Linked DNA regions of Macaca mulatta. The protein of the gene in region 2 interacts with the protein of the main gene of each other region in a pairwise test. Links are inferred from orthologs where the notes say so. Each region holds a gene or a part of one and is shown on either strand. Other genes may lie near its edges.

What was found. The genes of interacting proteins can lie anywhere in the genome.
Region 1: the proteins of IFT25 (region 2) and IFT27 interact in binary tests that used the Homo sapiens proteins (3 or more experiments, as listed by UniProt). The two-hybrid records come from large-scale screens. The link is inferred for Macaca mulatta from reciprocal best matches to the Homo sapiens genes IFT25 and IFT27.

Annotation. Positions count from the first base shown.
Region 1 is NC_133415.1:14,783,594-14,789,794, reverse strand, and holds part of IFT27 (intraflagellar transport protein 27 homolog), read right to left. Parts: intron 5,843-6,201; coding exon 5,783-5,842; intron 4,692-5,782; coding exon 4,632-4,691; intron 2,502-4,631; coding exon 2,384-2,501; intron 1,480-2,383; coding exon 1,370-1,479; intron 1-1,369. UniProt on the Homo sapiens protein: Small GTPase-like component of the intraflagellar transport (IFT) complex B that promotes the exit of the BBSome complex from cilia via its interaction with ARL6. Not involved in entry of the BBSome complex into cilium. Prevents aggregation of GTP-free ARL6.
Region 2 is NC_133406.1:186,670,153-186,676,874, reverse strand, and holds the start of IFT25 (intraflagellar transport protein 25 homolog), read right to left. Parts: upstream 4,191-6,722; 5' UTR 4,174-4,190; coding exon 4,076-4,173; intron 1-4,075. UniProt on the Homo sapiens protein: Component of the IFT complex B required for sonic hedgehog/SHH signaling.

The sequences.
Region 1 (6,201 bases), on a different chromosome or scaffold from region 2:
TCCAGGTTCCCATGGCGAGTTCTCCTGCTCTCCATGGGAGGTCAGAGTGGCTGCCTTTACCACTGCAAAGGAAGCATGCTGCTTTGAGGGGATTTTATAAGCTTGGACAGCAGCACTGGTCAAGGTTCCTAGATGCAACAGCGGAAGTGCCTAGAGCCAAAGTCAAGCTGGGGCAGCAGATGACCTCTAGAACGTTAACCAGCCCATGCGAAGACGATCTCCAGAACATTAACCAGCCCATGCGAAGATGATCTCCAGAACATTAACCAGCCCATGCGAAGATGATCTCCAGAACATTAACCAGCCCATGCGAAGATGATCTCCAGAACATTAACCAGCCCATGCGAAGACGATCTCCAGAACATTAACCAGCCCATGACTCTTTTGAGGGCCACAGAATCAGGTCTAAAGGCCACAAGATGAGGTCCAAGTTATGACCATGACTGTGCCAGGCCTGGTGGTCTCCCCAGCTAGCAACCCTGGCAAGGGGCAGGGCAACCAACACCCCGACCCCTGCTGGTTCTGAGATGGATGTCTGGGGCCACTCCTGCTCCTAGAGGGCAGGTCATCACTTCATGCCCTTCCTAGTGGAGTCTCACGTGAGGGATCTGATTGATGCAGCTTGGGTCACATGCCTGCATCTTGGCCTCAGGGAGGAAGGGACTTTAAAACTCCCAAACACAGGAAGCGGGTTCCTCAGTGCTGGACAGCTAAAATCATGATACATGAGGTTGGTGCAAAAGTAATTGCAGCTTTTGCCATGAAAAGTGTACTGAAGATGCTGATAACAAATCACTTGCTTTTTCTACTTAATGAGGTCTTTTGATCTTTTAACTGGCAGGAACTTTGTGGCCTGGAGTCACCCTGGGGCTGCAGCAAGGTGAGGATGGGCAGCACTGATGGGAATTAGAGGCCACAAGTCCTAGTCCTGGCTCCACCCTTCACTAATCATGGGACTTTGGACAAGTCACTTCAGCAGCTCAACACTGGAATGGGAACTGTGAAGCCAACTTCTGGTTCACAGGCCTGATTGTGAGCGCCACAGGAAACAATGTTCCAGCAACATCTGAACCCAGAATACCGCATGCAAACGTCAAGGGTCATGATCACCGCACACCATGCACTTCTGTTTCTTACTAGTTGAGATACACCTTTTCCCAGGGTTGGCTGGCTAATCTGCCTTCCTGTTATGTCTAAGCGGCTACTGCTGTATTGAGAAGAGATCTTGGGCTAAGAATGTAAACATCAGTTCCAAATGAGACTCTGCATATGGTGGAATAACAGCTCCCTGCACGTGAGGTCATGTGCAAGACCGCTGCCAGCAGAGGCCCACTCCAGACTTGGCGACGAGGCAAGCGGAGATACTCACCACGGATGTTTCAAAACATTCCAGGCCTTGGCCCAGCGCCCATGCCCGGGCCTCAGCTGAGTCCACTGCTCGCCTGCCGACCAGGTCTGTCTTGTTCCCAACTAAAACACCTACTCAGAAGAAACAACCAAAATATGACACTTCACTGTCACAGTCTGGAAGGACAGCGGGCGAGATGAGAGCACTATTTTTGAGGGGTGTAAAGCATCCTCTAAGAGCTGCCTGACTCAAGGTGGTGAGACCCCACAGGGAAAGCCGGGGGTCTCTCATGCTGGCCCTGACGGCCACAGAGAGACAGGTGGGCTTTGCTTTTCATGCACAGCTTCTGCTAGATCTTTTTTCTAGACCTCATGTATATCTGTTTCCCTTGCCTCCTTAAAGGGCTGCAAACGCGTGAAGGCGAGGGCCAAATTTATGTGAGCCTTTTAATAATTCCTAGCACATGGAGCAAACTGTAAACTGGTCATTAATACTAATCTAAGGACTCGGCTCGGAGTCAGGGATTCAGAGGTAATTTAGTTCAGCTCCCAGCTGCATCAGCTGCAGCTAATTTTTGAGCCTGTCTCTGGAGATCACTTTCCCCGGTCTATAATGAGGAGAATTTGTTGATCTCACATAGGGACGAAAAATAAACTGATTTAAAGCATTCAGAAGTGACAACAGGACTTGAATGTTTACTTGTACCCCATATACAAGAGAAAATTAGGAACTCTTCCCTGGGGTTAGCTTTCTGGAATTAACAACTGATATTACAGCACCCTCCCCGTATTGAGTTGCCCCACAGCCCTGCCAGGTGCGTGTCCTCATTCCCATTTCCTAGACTGGGAGAGGTGTGTGTGATGACTCACCGAGGTTGGCATGGCTGCTAAGCGGCAGGGCCAGTGTATGCCTCAGGCCATCAAAGTCAAAGCCCAGGGCCCCTTCTCCACCCACAGCTGCCTCTGCAATGCCCTTGTGCTCTTGAACCGAAGGACAGCGATGCCTCTGGGAAACATGGGTGTCTGCAGCTCGTACCTGGGAGAGAGGTGCCTGGAGCCTGGGCCCGAGCCTTCTCCAGCCACTTGCTGCAGTTGTTGAAGGACTGTTCACTGGTCACATCATAGACGAGACATAAGACATTGGGACTCTCCCACTGTGCAAGAGGGACAGGATGAGCATGGGTCAGTAACAGGAAAAGTGACTTCAAGGCTGGGAGACAATTTGGCCTTTCAAGGGAAAAGCTATGGGGAGCAGAGGGAAACAGAAAACTATAAAGGGGACGGGAGTCAGAAAATAGCCACACCCACAGAAGTCAAACAATTTCCCCAAAGGAATGAACGGAGGGCCCCGTTCAGTGGCAGGAGGCAGGGCTGGGGCGGTGCCGCCAAGGACGAGAGCTCCTGTCTGGGCCAGGCTCTGCTGGGCGCTTCTGCGCCTCACTGTGAAGCCTCCCAACGCGGTGGAGTGTCTGAATATTTCCACTTTGTAGCTGAAGAAACCGAATTCAGGGAGGCTAAGTGACTTGTCCAGGCCTGACAGGCTTTAAAAACAATGACAACGATGACAGAGATGGGGGACGACTGAGGTCTTCTCTACCCAGAAATCTGCTTTCACCTGTGGCTGGCCTCGTTCAGTCATTCTCCACTCATTCTCATTGAGAGCCTACCACCATGCAAGTTATGTTTCTGTGCTTTCCAGCCCTGAAAGAAGATTCTTTCTTCATTAGCCAGCCCTGGGAGCTTGTTTGCTTGTATCTTCTTAATAAGGGCTGGCTTTTTAAAATGCAGAGGACACTTTCTGCTTCTCTTGCCATCCCTGCATCAGCCTAATCCAAACCACACCGACAACTGGACAGGGCTCCATGACCCAATTAAGAGCCGAGGCTACACTCTGGGGGGCTGTCGCCTTCAGGGGCTGCTCAGAGTCCTGGGGTGTCCTGCTGCCTACCCCGATGTTGGATGGCCCTGTACAGGCTGTGGGTGCGCACCCTGGTGCTTGTGACTCTTGGTCATGCCCTGGTTTCTGGATCCCCCAACCTTGCACAATTAGGACCTGGTTTATTTCTGCGGTGTCAGTAACCTTCCAGGATACAGAGGAGAATCCTTTTCCCTCCAGATTGGATTCCCTTTTGGATCCTTGGAAGGCCAGCCCAGAGTCCACTCTAGAGGGCTCCTCCTCACCCTATAAGGCTGTGCTGGCTCCTGGCAATGTCCAGGATGGGAGGACCGTGAACTAAACTGATGAACCCTTCACTCCACAGATTAACTCTTGAACTCCTGCTAGAACACACTGAACTCTGTTACATGCATGCAGGAGACACCTCAGCATGGTTTTAACTCAAGAAACCCTCCTTCTTCCAGGCTTCAGTGAGGGGATCCTGAAGAGGCCTGGCATCAAGTTAAAGCCAGAGCGGGTGAACCGGGAGTCAGGGCCGGCTGGAGGGAAGGGTATGAGCTGACGGGTGGCACATGGCCTGGATTTGCCCAAATACATCTTCCCTTCTGCCGGGCATGGCAGCCCCAGTGCCAGGCCATGCACACAGTAGGCAATTGGGGTGAACATCGTGAACCGATGCATGAAGCCAACCCTGTATGAAATCACTATCATTAGATCTACTTCTCTTAGGCGACAAAAAAAAAAGGGGCAGAAAACAGTTTCCATTAAAATGTGGCTGTTCTTGGAAAGGCAGGGGAGGGCTCTGGAGAACTCAAACCTTCTAATTAGCTCACTGACCCAGATTAGTGAGACTGTTACCATGGAAGGTACAGCAAGCGGATCCTGCGAGGCTGGTGGGACGGGGGTGGATGGGGCATGGTGAGCCCTGGGCAGCAGTAGGGGCATTTCCCGGAGTAAACCCCAGTGGAACAGCAGAAAGTGAGCCTCATTATAGGCTGAGGCCTCTACAGCACTTCCCAGAGGGGAAGGAGGCAGTCTGTACTGTCCTGGGAGGTAGGGGACACCATCTGAAAGGACACCATCAGGAGGGTGTTGCTCTAAAGGAGGGAGGCCTCACAGGGGGAGGGCTGCAAGGACTGAGCCACAAGGCTCTTGGCCCATTGGATCCTGGGCACCCCGGAGCTGGGGCCCGGGCAGTCACGCGCATCAGCCGCTCCTTCTTGCCAAGTAGCCACGAGTCTGGGCTGGGAGGAACGCCCCTTAAAGAGGAATGCCATGGGAGCTTCCCAACAGCACAGTGCAGGGAAACTGCTGTGTGAGCACTGTCAGGGACCAGCGTTTTGGCGGGAGGTGGTGATGGTCAGGAAAAGGACCACGTGCTACTTGCCAATTTATCCAGCATTTCCGAAAACAGCTCCTTGCCAGCAGAGTCGAAAATGAAGAGTTCCTACAATCAGAAAAGCAAGAAAGTCTCCACGTGGAAAAACCGCAAGCTACGAGTCAGTGGTATCACTCTCAGCTCACACTAGGCTTGTCTTAGGGGTGAAATACAGGCACCCAAATCTTCACACATGCTCTGTCCTTTCTCCCAGGCACGAGAGAAGATGACGGGGAAAGGAGCGAACTCCAGAGTCTTAGAGAGGCGGTACGACGGGTTCTCGCACCGACCAGCACTTTCTGTGTGGCGTCTCACCTCTTGTAACCCTGAGTGCAAAAATACCAGGAACAAGCTGACTTCCCACCTGGCAGAACAGAATGTTAAACAGGCCGGCGAGCGCTCTGGTTTCCAAAAGGTCATTCTGCACTTTGTTAACCAAATTGATTTTCAAATCTTAGAACAATTCTTTCTAAAGGAGGTCACTGAGTAGGCCTGGGGAAGGTGTTTAAAGTAGGACATTCTGTCACCCTTCTGGGATGGCTAAGGAGTGATGCAGACAGAGGGTGCGGGATGACCCTTCCTGCCCCGTCCAAACCTTCGCCAGCTCACGTGAGAGCCCCCAGGGCTGCTCCCCTAGGAAATCACCCCTCGGCTCCCCGCCAAGCTCCCGCCTGGCACTGGGTATTTCCTGGCTGGCCTCTGATCCCCAGCATACGCCGTCTGAACATCAGTGCCACGGTCTCTTTTGCATATTGGTTACCTGGGCACTCACCTTTCTCTTCGTCAGAAGTACTTATACTTTTTTTTTCTCAGACCTCTTTAGGAATCTGGTGAAAGCTACAAACCCTCTCTCTGGAAAAGTACACACATACATAACACCTTGCAATCCACTTTCAAGAGTCCCAGGTTCCCATACAGAGACTCAGGAACCTTGATAGTAGAGAACACGTTCTTTGAGGGCCAGGCCCATATCCTAGTCCTCCTTCCTTCCTCCTCCACCTCCTCAGTCCCTCCCCTGAATGCTTCCCGATTCTATTCCGAAACGCTCAGACAAGCCACAGCCTTGCACTACATCTCTCCTAGGGAGGGTGGTGTGACCACAGAGACCCTGGGCCCAGCTGGGGGAGCCCTGAGTTCCCTTGGGTAAAGGCATCACTCACCACACTGTCTCCCGTGTCAGGAACTGCCACTGTCTTCACCACCAAATCCATTCCTGTTGTCTGCCGAGGAACACCAAGAATGTTAGCATTGAGGGCCCCCAAAGCGGGAGCCTGTTACAGGAGGACACACAAGCACCCCGATCCCAGGGGGGCTACCTCCAGTGGAAGGGTTTGTTCTGGACTCATTCTGGTGGGAAGCAGCTCAGTGTGCAGAATTCAGAGAGGACCCACTAGTCCTCTCCACCTCCCTGCCCCGACATGAGCTGCTACACATGGTGGCCGAGTTGCTTGTGGCCAGTCTGCTCTGTAGCTGACCTCTCACCCTGGGCTAGTGGAAAAATCGATCTCTACATGGCCCTCCGAGCAGCCTCTCATCAGCTGTCTTAAGGCTTCTTCAGGGAACTTCGCAGTCACTCACT
Region 2 (6,722 bases):
TTTCTTTGGATGCTTTCAATGAACATAACCAATAGAATAACATAAAATATCATGTTAGAGATACACTTGAATTTTAAAATGACATGTAACTAGGCCGGGTGCGGTGGCTCATGCCTGTAATCCCAGCACTTTGGGAGGTCGAGGCGGGCCGATCACGAGGTCAGGAGTTTTAAACCAGCCTGGCCAACATGGTGAAACCCTGTCTCTACTAAAAATACAAAAAATTAGCTGGGCGTGGTGGCGTGCACCTGTAATCCCAACTACTCTGAAGGCTAAGGCAGAAGAATTGCTTGGACCTGGGAGGCGGAGGGTGCACTAAGCTGAGATTGTGCCACTGCACTCCAGCCTGGGCAACAGAACAAGATTCCATCTCAGAAAACAAAACAAAACAAAAAAACAAAAATTAGTCAGACATGGTGGTGCATGCCTGTAGTCCCAGCTACTCGGGAAGCTGAGGCAGGAGAATCGCTTGAACCCAGGAGGCAGAGGTTGCAGTGACCCGAGATCATGCCACTGCACTCCAGCCTGGGTGACAGAGTGAGACCCTGTCTCAAAAAAAAAAAAAAGAAAAGACATCTAACTAAATCTTGTAATTATATATAAGGAAGTCATCAAAGTGGTAGTTTTCTTTTAAATATGACTTTATAGCTAACACCTATTTTACATGGATTATCTCATGGGATTTTTTTCTCAATTCTGAGGTCAGCAGGAAAGGTGGTATTATCCTCCATTTTTCAGATCAGTAATTGAGGCTCAAAGAGTAATATATATACTCTTTGACCAAGATAACACATAGTTCACTTACCCAGGAATTTTAATTCTAAATACAGTATTCTTCTACACTACACCAAAAGAACTGATTCTCTCTCTTCTTTTTTACTTGGCTTTTTTTTTCCTAGTGTAGAACCTCTTTTCCCCTTTTTCACTGACACATTAAATACAAAGGGCAGAGGAAAACTAGAAGTATAATCATTTTCTTTTTTTAGTGATGTGGTCTTGTTACGTTGCCCAGGCTAGTCTCAAGCTCCTGACCTCAAGCTATCCTCCTGCCTCAGCCACTATGCCTGGCTATTTATTTAACTCTTATTTCTGAAGGAATGGAGAGTTTGGAGCAGGGCCATAAAACAATATTCCATTATCCCGTAGGGACACATTTATAGCACTGTTTTCTCCAAATAATTCTATGGTTACTCTATTTAGATAAAGCAACTGTGAACAGAAAATAACTTTCTGTTTTTCTTTGAGACAGTCTCGCTCTGCCACCCAGGCTGGAGTGCAGTGACATGATCTCAGCTCACTGAACCTCCACCTCCTGGGTTCAAGCAATTCTGGTGCCTCAGCCTCCCGAGTAGCTGGGACTATAGGCGCACGCCACCACACCTGGCTAATTTTTTGGTATTTTTAGTAGAGACAGAGTTTTACCAAGTTGGCTAGGCTGGTCTTGAATTTCTGACCTCAACTAATCTGCCTGCCTCAGCCTCCTGAAGTGCTGGGATTACAGACATGAGCCACCGCACCTGGCCAGAAATTAACTTTTAGTGTCTACAATATACAGTCTAATTATATTTTCTAGAACTGCATATGCATTAAAAGTCCCCTATGTACTCTGTTCAGTTATCAGGAGAGTAACTACATTATTCCTTATGTTTTCCTGTACTAAGAGTTTTTGTCTAATCTAAAAAATATTATGTCCTTATTTATCAAAATGGACAGAGCCTAAAATATTAACTGCAATATATGATAGCTAATCCTAACATTCTATAAACATATAAAACAGACTCGCTTGAGAGAAAGATCACCAAAGTATTGCAAGGTAAATTGATCTTGCCTTGGAAAACTAATCTATCTCCAATCAAAATCAAGGAGTGTTTCTGGAAAGTCCTCTATTTCTGGCAAACAACTTAAGGCAAATCTCCACAGTTCTGTGTATTCTTAAAGCAATTCCCATATTAATTTTTCTACTCCAAGTCAGAGTAGGATAGTAACTATTACCTGAATTTCAGGAAGTAAACAACTAAGAAAAAGAAAGAAGAGACACAGGCAAAAAGCAGATATTAAATTTTTGATTCAAACTAAGTTTGAGTTAACCCAGTGTAGCACAAAGATCCCTGAGTACAAGTTAGAAGACATGAGTGTTAGCTGATTCTGCCTCTTGCTTATCTGTGTAATTTTGAGCAAGTCATTTTTATTTTGAGCAAGTCATCTGATCATTCTTTTCTTCATCTTTACGAAGGAGTTGAAAATACTTTTTTGTGCTTCTTATTCCCCAAGATTACTGTAAGGGTCAACTGACAAAGTATCTATGAAATTATAAAGCCCTATGCAAATGTAGAGTAATATGTGCATATATATGTGTTTATATGTATGCGTGTGTGTGTAGATGTTGATTACTTTCCAATATTAGTCAAGTTTGACTCATAGAAAAAGTCTCTGACTTCTAGGAATTCACAGTTGAGAGAGGAAACAACCATTAAAAATAAACAATACAATAAAGGAAAAAGTAAGGTAACAGAGGTATATACCAACTGTTATTGGACCCCAGCAAAGAGCTAAAGGAATCTGAGGGGAAAAGTCAGTTGTCATAAAGATTACAACTAGGCTTCAAGGAAGAGGCTGAGTTGCTAGAATTTCATCCAGATACATGGGCTTCAAGATACATAAAGTATCATGAAACCTCTGTTACAACTGGTTCTGCCTTCAATAATTAAAAGTAGTACTTAACCTCCTTAGACCTCTCTCACCACAAGTCTGAAATAAAGGGTTTTGGCAAAATAAACCCACAAGTCCTTCCAGGCCTAAAATTAGATGGTTCTATGAGTCAAACTCTGGTCACTGTACATATACCAAGAAAGAGGGTTCAAGAAAGTAATAAGCCAGAAGTATTAAAAAAGGAGTTCTCCACCAGGCACGGTGGCTCACGCCTGTAATCCCAACACTTTGGGAGGCCAAGGTGGGCAAATCACCTGAGGTCGGGAGTTCAAGACCAGCCTGACCAACATGGAGAAACCCCATCTCTACTAAAAATACAAAATTAGCCAGGCGTGGTGGTGCATGCCTGTAATCCTAGCTACTCGGGAGGCTGAGGCAGGAGAATCACTTGAACTCGGGAGGTGGAGGTTTTGGTGAGCCGAGATTGTGCTATCGCACTCCAGCCTGGGCAACAAGAGCAAAACTCCGTCTCAAAATAAAAAGGAGTTCTCAGGTGGGCTCAGTAGCTCATGCCTGTAATCCCAGCACTTTGGGAGGCTGAGGTGGGTGGATCACAAGGTCAGGAGTTTGAGACCAGCTTAGCCAATATAGTGAAACCCCGTCTCGACTAAAAAATACAAAAATTAGCCCAGTGTGGTGGCGTACTCCTGTAGTCCCAGCTACTCAAGAGGCTGAGGCAGGAGAATCACTTGAACCCGGGAGGTGGAGGTTGCAGTGAGCCAAGATGGCGCCACTGGACTCTGGCCTGGGTGACAGAGTGAGACTCTGTCTTAAAAAAAAAAAAAAGAAAAAAAGGAGTTCTCCCATTAACTGCTTTTTCTTGGAATCAGAAGTCTAAGAACAATATTTAGAAAAATATCCACCTAGAAAAAGCTGTAGCACAATGAAGAGTAGAAATTGGAAGGATATCAACAAGGGGAGAGGCAAAACAATACGTGATAGCACGGAATGAAGCATTCAGTTCTGCAAAGATATCACTTAGACCAGTAAGGAAATAGGTAGTATATAGGAAGTTATAATATTTACATTCTTATTCCAAGAAAAACTTGGAGTAAAACCAAAACCAGACCTTAAAATTTACACTTCCATAAAATGAAGTTGTTTGAGTTTTTGCCTTGGTAAACCACTTCTAAAAAAACCTATTTGTATGAAGAGTTCAGTTTAGGCATTATAAAGAAAAGGATCAAAAACCTAAATATACACAACTGAATTAGTTTCAGAAATGGTACCAAAAGTGGATATCAGATAATTCACCAAACATTTATTAAACTATGTTTAATAGGGCAAGTTGTTATAAAACACAGTCCAAGTACTCAAGGGATTCACTGATTTAAGACTGTAAACAACAAACTATAGTAACTCTTACCCATCAATGATATTTTCAGGTGGGTGTTTTTCATCACTTGATGTAGCTAAAATCACTTCGGACCCTTCAGAGCTCAGACAGAGATCAATTTTTCTCATCTTAAAATGTTTAACCTGCAAATCAAAAAATAACAAAAAAAGCAACTTCTTGATTCTCTAAACTTTATCTGAGAAAACCAAGTGAGAAGGAAAGGCTGTTGCCTAGCAGATGGTTTAACAGCCAAGCTATTCAACATGTGGGAGGGACTCTAACATGTTTGTTTATATAAGAAACCTCTCCCAGGGATAATCTATATGACATGACTATTTCTGCCACTCTGCTTCACAAAATAAGTCCCTGACTACCCTAGCCAAACAAAAAAACAAAAACACAGAGGTACAGGAAGAAGGTCAACAGAGGAGAACAACATGGAATACCATAAAAATACTCAATTAGGCCGGGTGCGGTGGCTCATGCCTGTAATCCCAGCACTTTGGGAGGCCAAAAAATTTTTTTTTTTTTCTGTAGAGATGGGGTCTTGCTATGCTGCACAGGCTAGTCTTTGTTTTGAGACGGAGTCTCACTCTTGTTGCCCAAGCTGGAGTGCAATGGCACGATCTTGGCTCAATGCAACCTCTGCCTCCCGGTTTCAAGCGATTCTCCTGCCTCAGCTCCTGAGTAGCTGGGATTACAGGCACCCGCCACCACGCCAGGTTAATTTTTGTATTTTTAGTAGAGACGGGGTTTCACCATGTCGGCCTGACTGGTCTCAAACTCCTGACCTCGTAATCCGCCCACCTCAGCCTCCCAAAGTGCTGGGATTACAGGCGTGAGCCAGCACACCCAGCTTGCTCAGGTTAGTCTTAAAACTCCTGGCCTCAAGTGATCCTCCTGCCTCAGCGTTTCAAAGTGCTGGTATTAAAGGCATGCGCCACTGTGCCCGGCCAGTATCAGTATTTTATAAAAATGCATTTATTCTTAGTTTTTATTTATTAGAATACAGTTCACTTTCTATTATATTTTAAAAATTAGTATCGATAGTATTAAAAGTGTGGTAACATTGGTAAGAAAACACATATATTTTAATTTTTTGTGCCTCTTTTCTCTATCAATCTTACCACAGCTTTTGACACTATTGATACCAGAAAAACAGTCAGTGTGGGATGAATTGTCAAGCCTTAGTTTTAAGAGGAGAAAGATGATGAATTCTGTAAATACAGATTGATAAACTTGAATGCTAATTCTCAACAAAACCCTAAAATTATTAAAATTCATTATTAAAATGGTAGCCTTGAAAATGTAACCAAGGAAGTACTAAAATTGGAAGTAGCAGTAACATTAGTTTACAAGCTAAACCAAACCTATACATTTCTGTTTGTCTGATGGAATTCCTACCCATTTGGAACATGTTCTAAACATTTCGACAAAGCTTCAGACAAAGCTTCTCAAGATACCCTGTGAACCCGACAGAGAAATATGAATTGGGTGACAGCCAGTACTCTAGGTAGATATTTCTAACTCTGAGTGGCTATACTCAAAGAATGATGATTAATGGAAGAAAATGAACTTGTGGAGAACTTCTATCCTTATCCTACTCAACATTTTTATTAATTAAGGATGCACAAAGTATGCTCATCAATTTTGCAGACACAAAGCTTGGGATGTCAGCTGATACGCTAGGTGACAGAATTAGCATTCAAAAAGAAATGAGTAAGCTAGAAAGATGGCTTGCAATGAGTAAGTCATCTAATAAGGATAAAAGTAAAAACCTTTACTCAGTTTTGGAAAAAATCAATCATACAAGGGTTAGTCTAAATCAGGGGTTAGCAAACTACTGCCTGTGAGCCAAATCTAGCCTGCCATTTGTTTTTGTACTGCCCACAAGCTAAAAATGTGTTTAACATTTTAAAATATTTTTTAAAATCAAAATATACTGTGACACACAAAAATTACATGAAACTCATATTTTAATGTCCATGAATTATATTGGAAAGTGGCTATGCTCATTCGCTTATATATTGCCTATGGCTGATTATATGTTACAGTGACATAGCTGAGTCACTGAAACAGACTACAAGGCCCATAAAACCTGAAATATTTACTATTTGGCCCTTTACAAAAAAGTGTGCCAACCTCTGATCTGATACATATAGGTTTGGTTGATCACAAAGTCAATATAAGGCAACAGTGTACTCTATCTGCCCCTAAAGGTAATGGAATGCTATCTTAGAGTTTAAGGAAGTACCACATTCCATCAACATTTTTGAACACCAGTTGAACTAAGGGCCAAGCACTGTGCTAGTATTGCAAAGACGAATATAACAACCTAGGGACTAAGACTTGGTTCTTGCCTTCAAGTTTCAGAGTCAAGGAAGATGAATAAGCATGAAGCTAATAGTATAATATACTACGTACTAACATCGTGTGACGCACATCCAGAACACTGTGTTCAGTTCTGGGTAGTATGTTTTAAGTAGGACATCGTCAGGCGCAATATTGTTCAGAGGAGAGTAAAAAGTTCATGATGATCTATAAACCATATTACATAGAGGAAGGTGAAAAATAGAAATATGACTACCATTTTTATTCTCAGTGGTGCTCACAAATGGAAAAAGGATTTTTTACACCTCCAGGGGTGTGAACTGAACTCAACAAATACACATTTTGA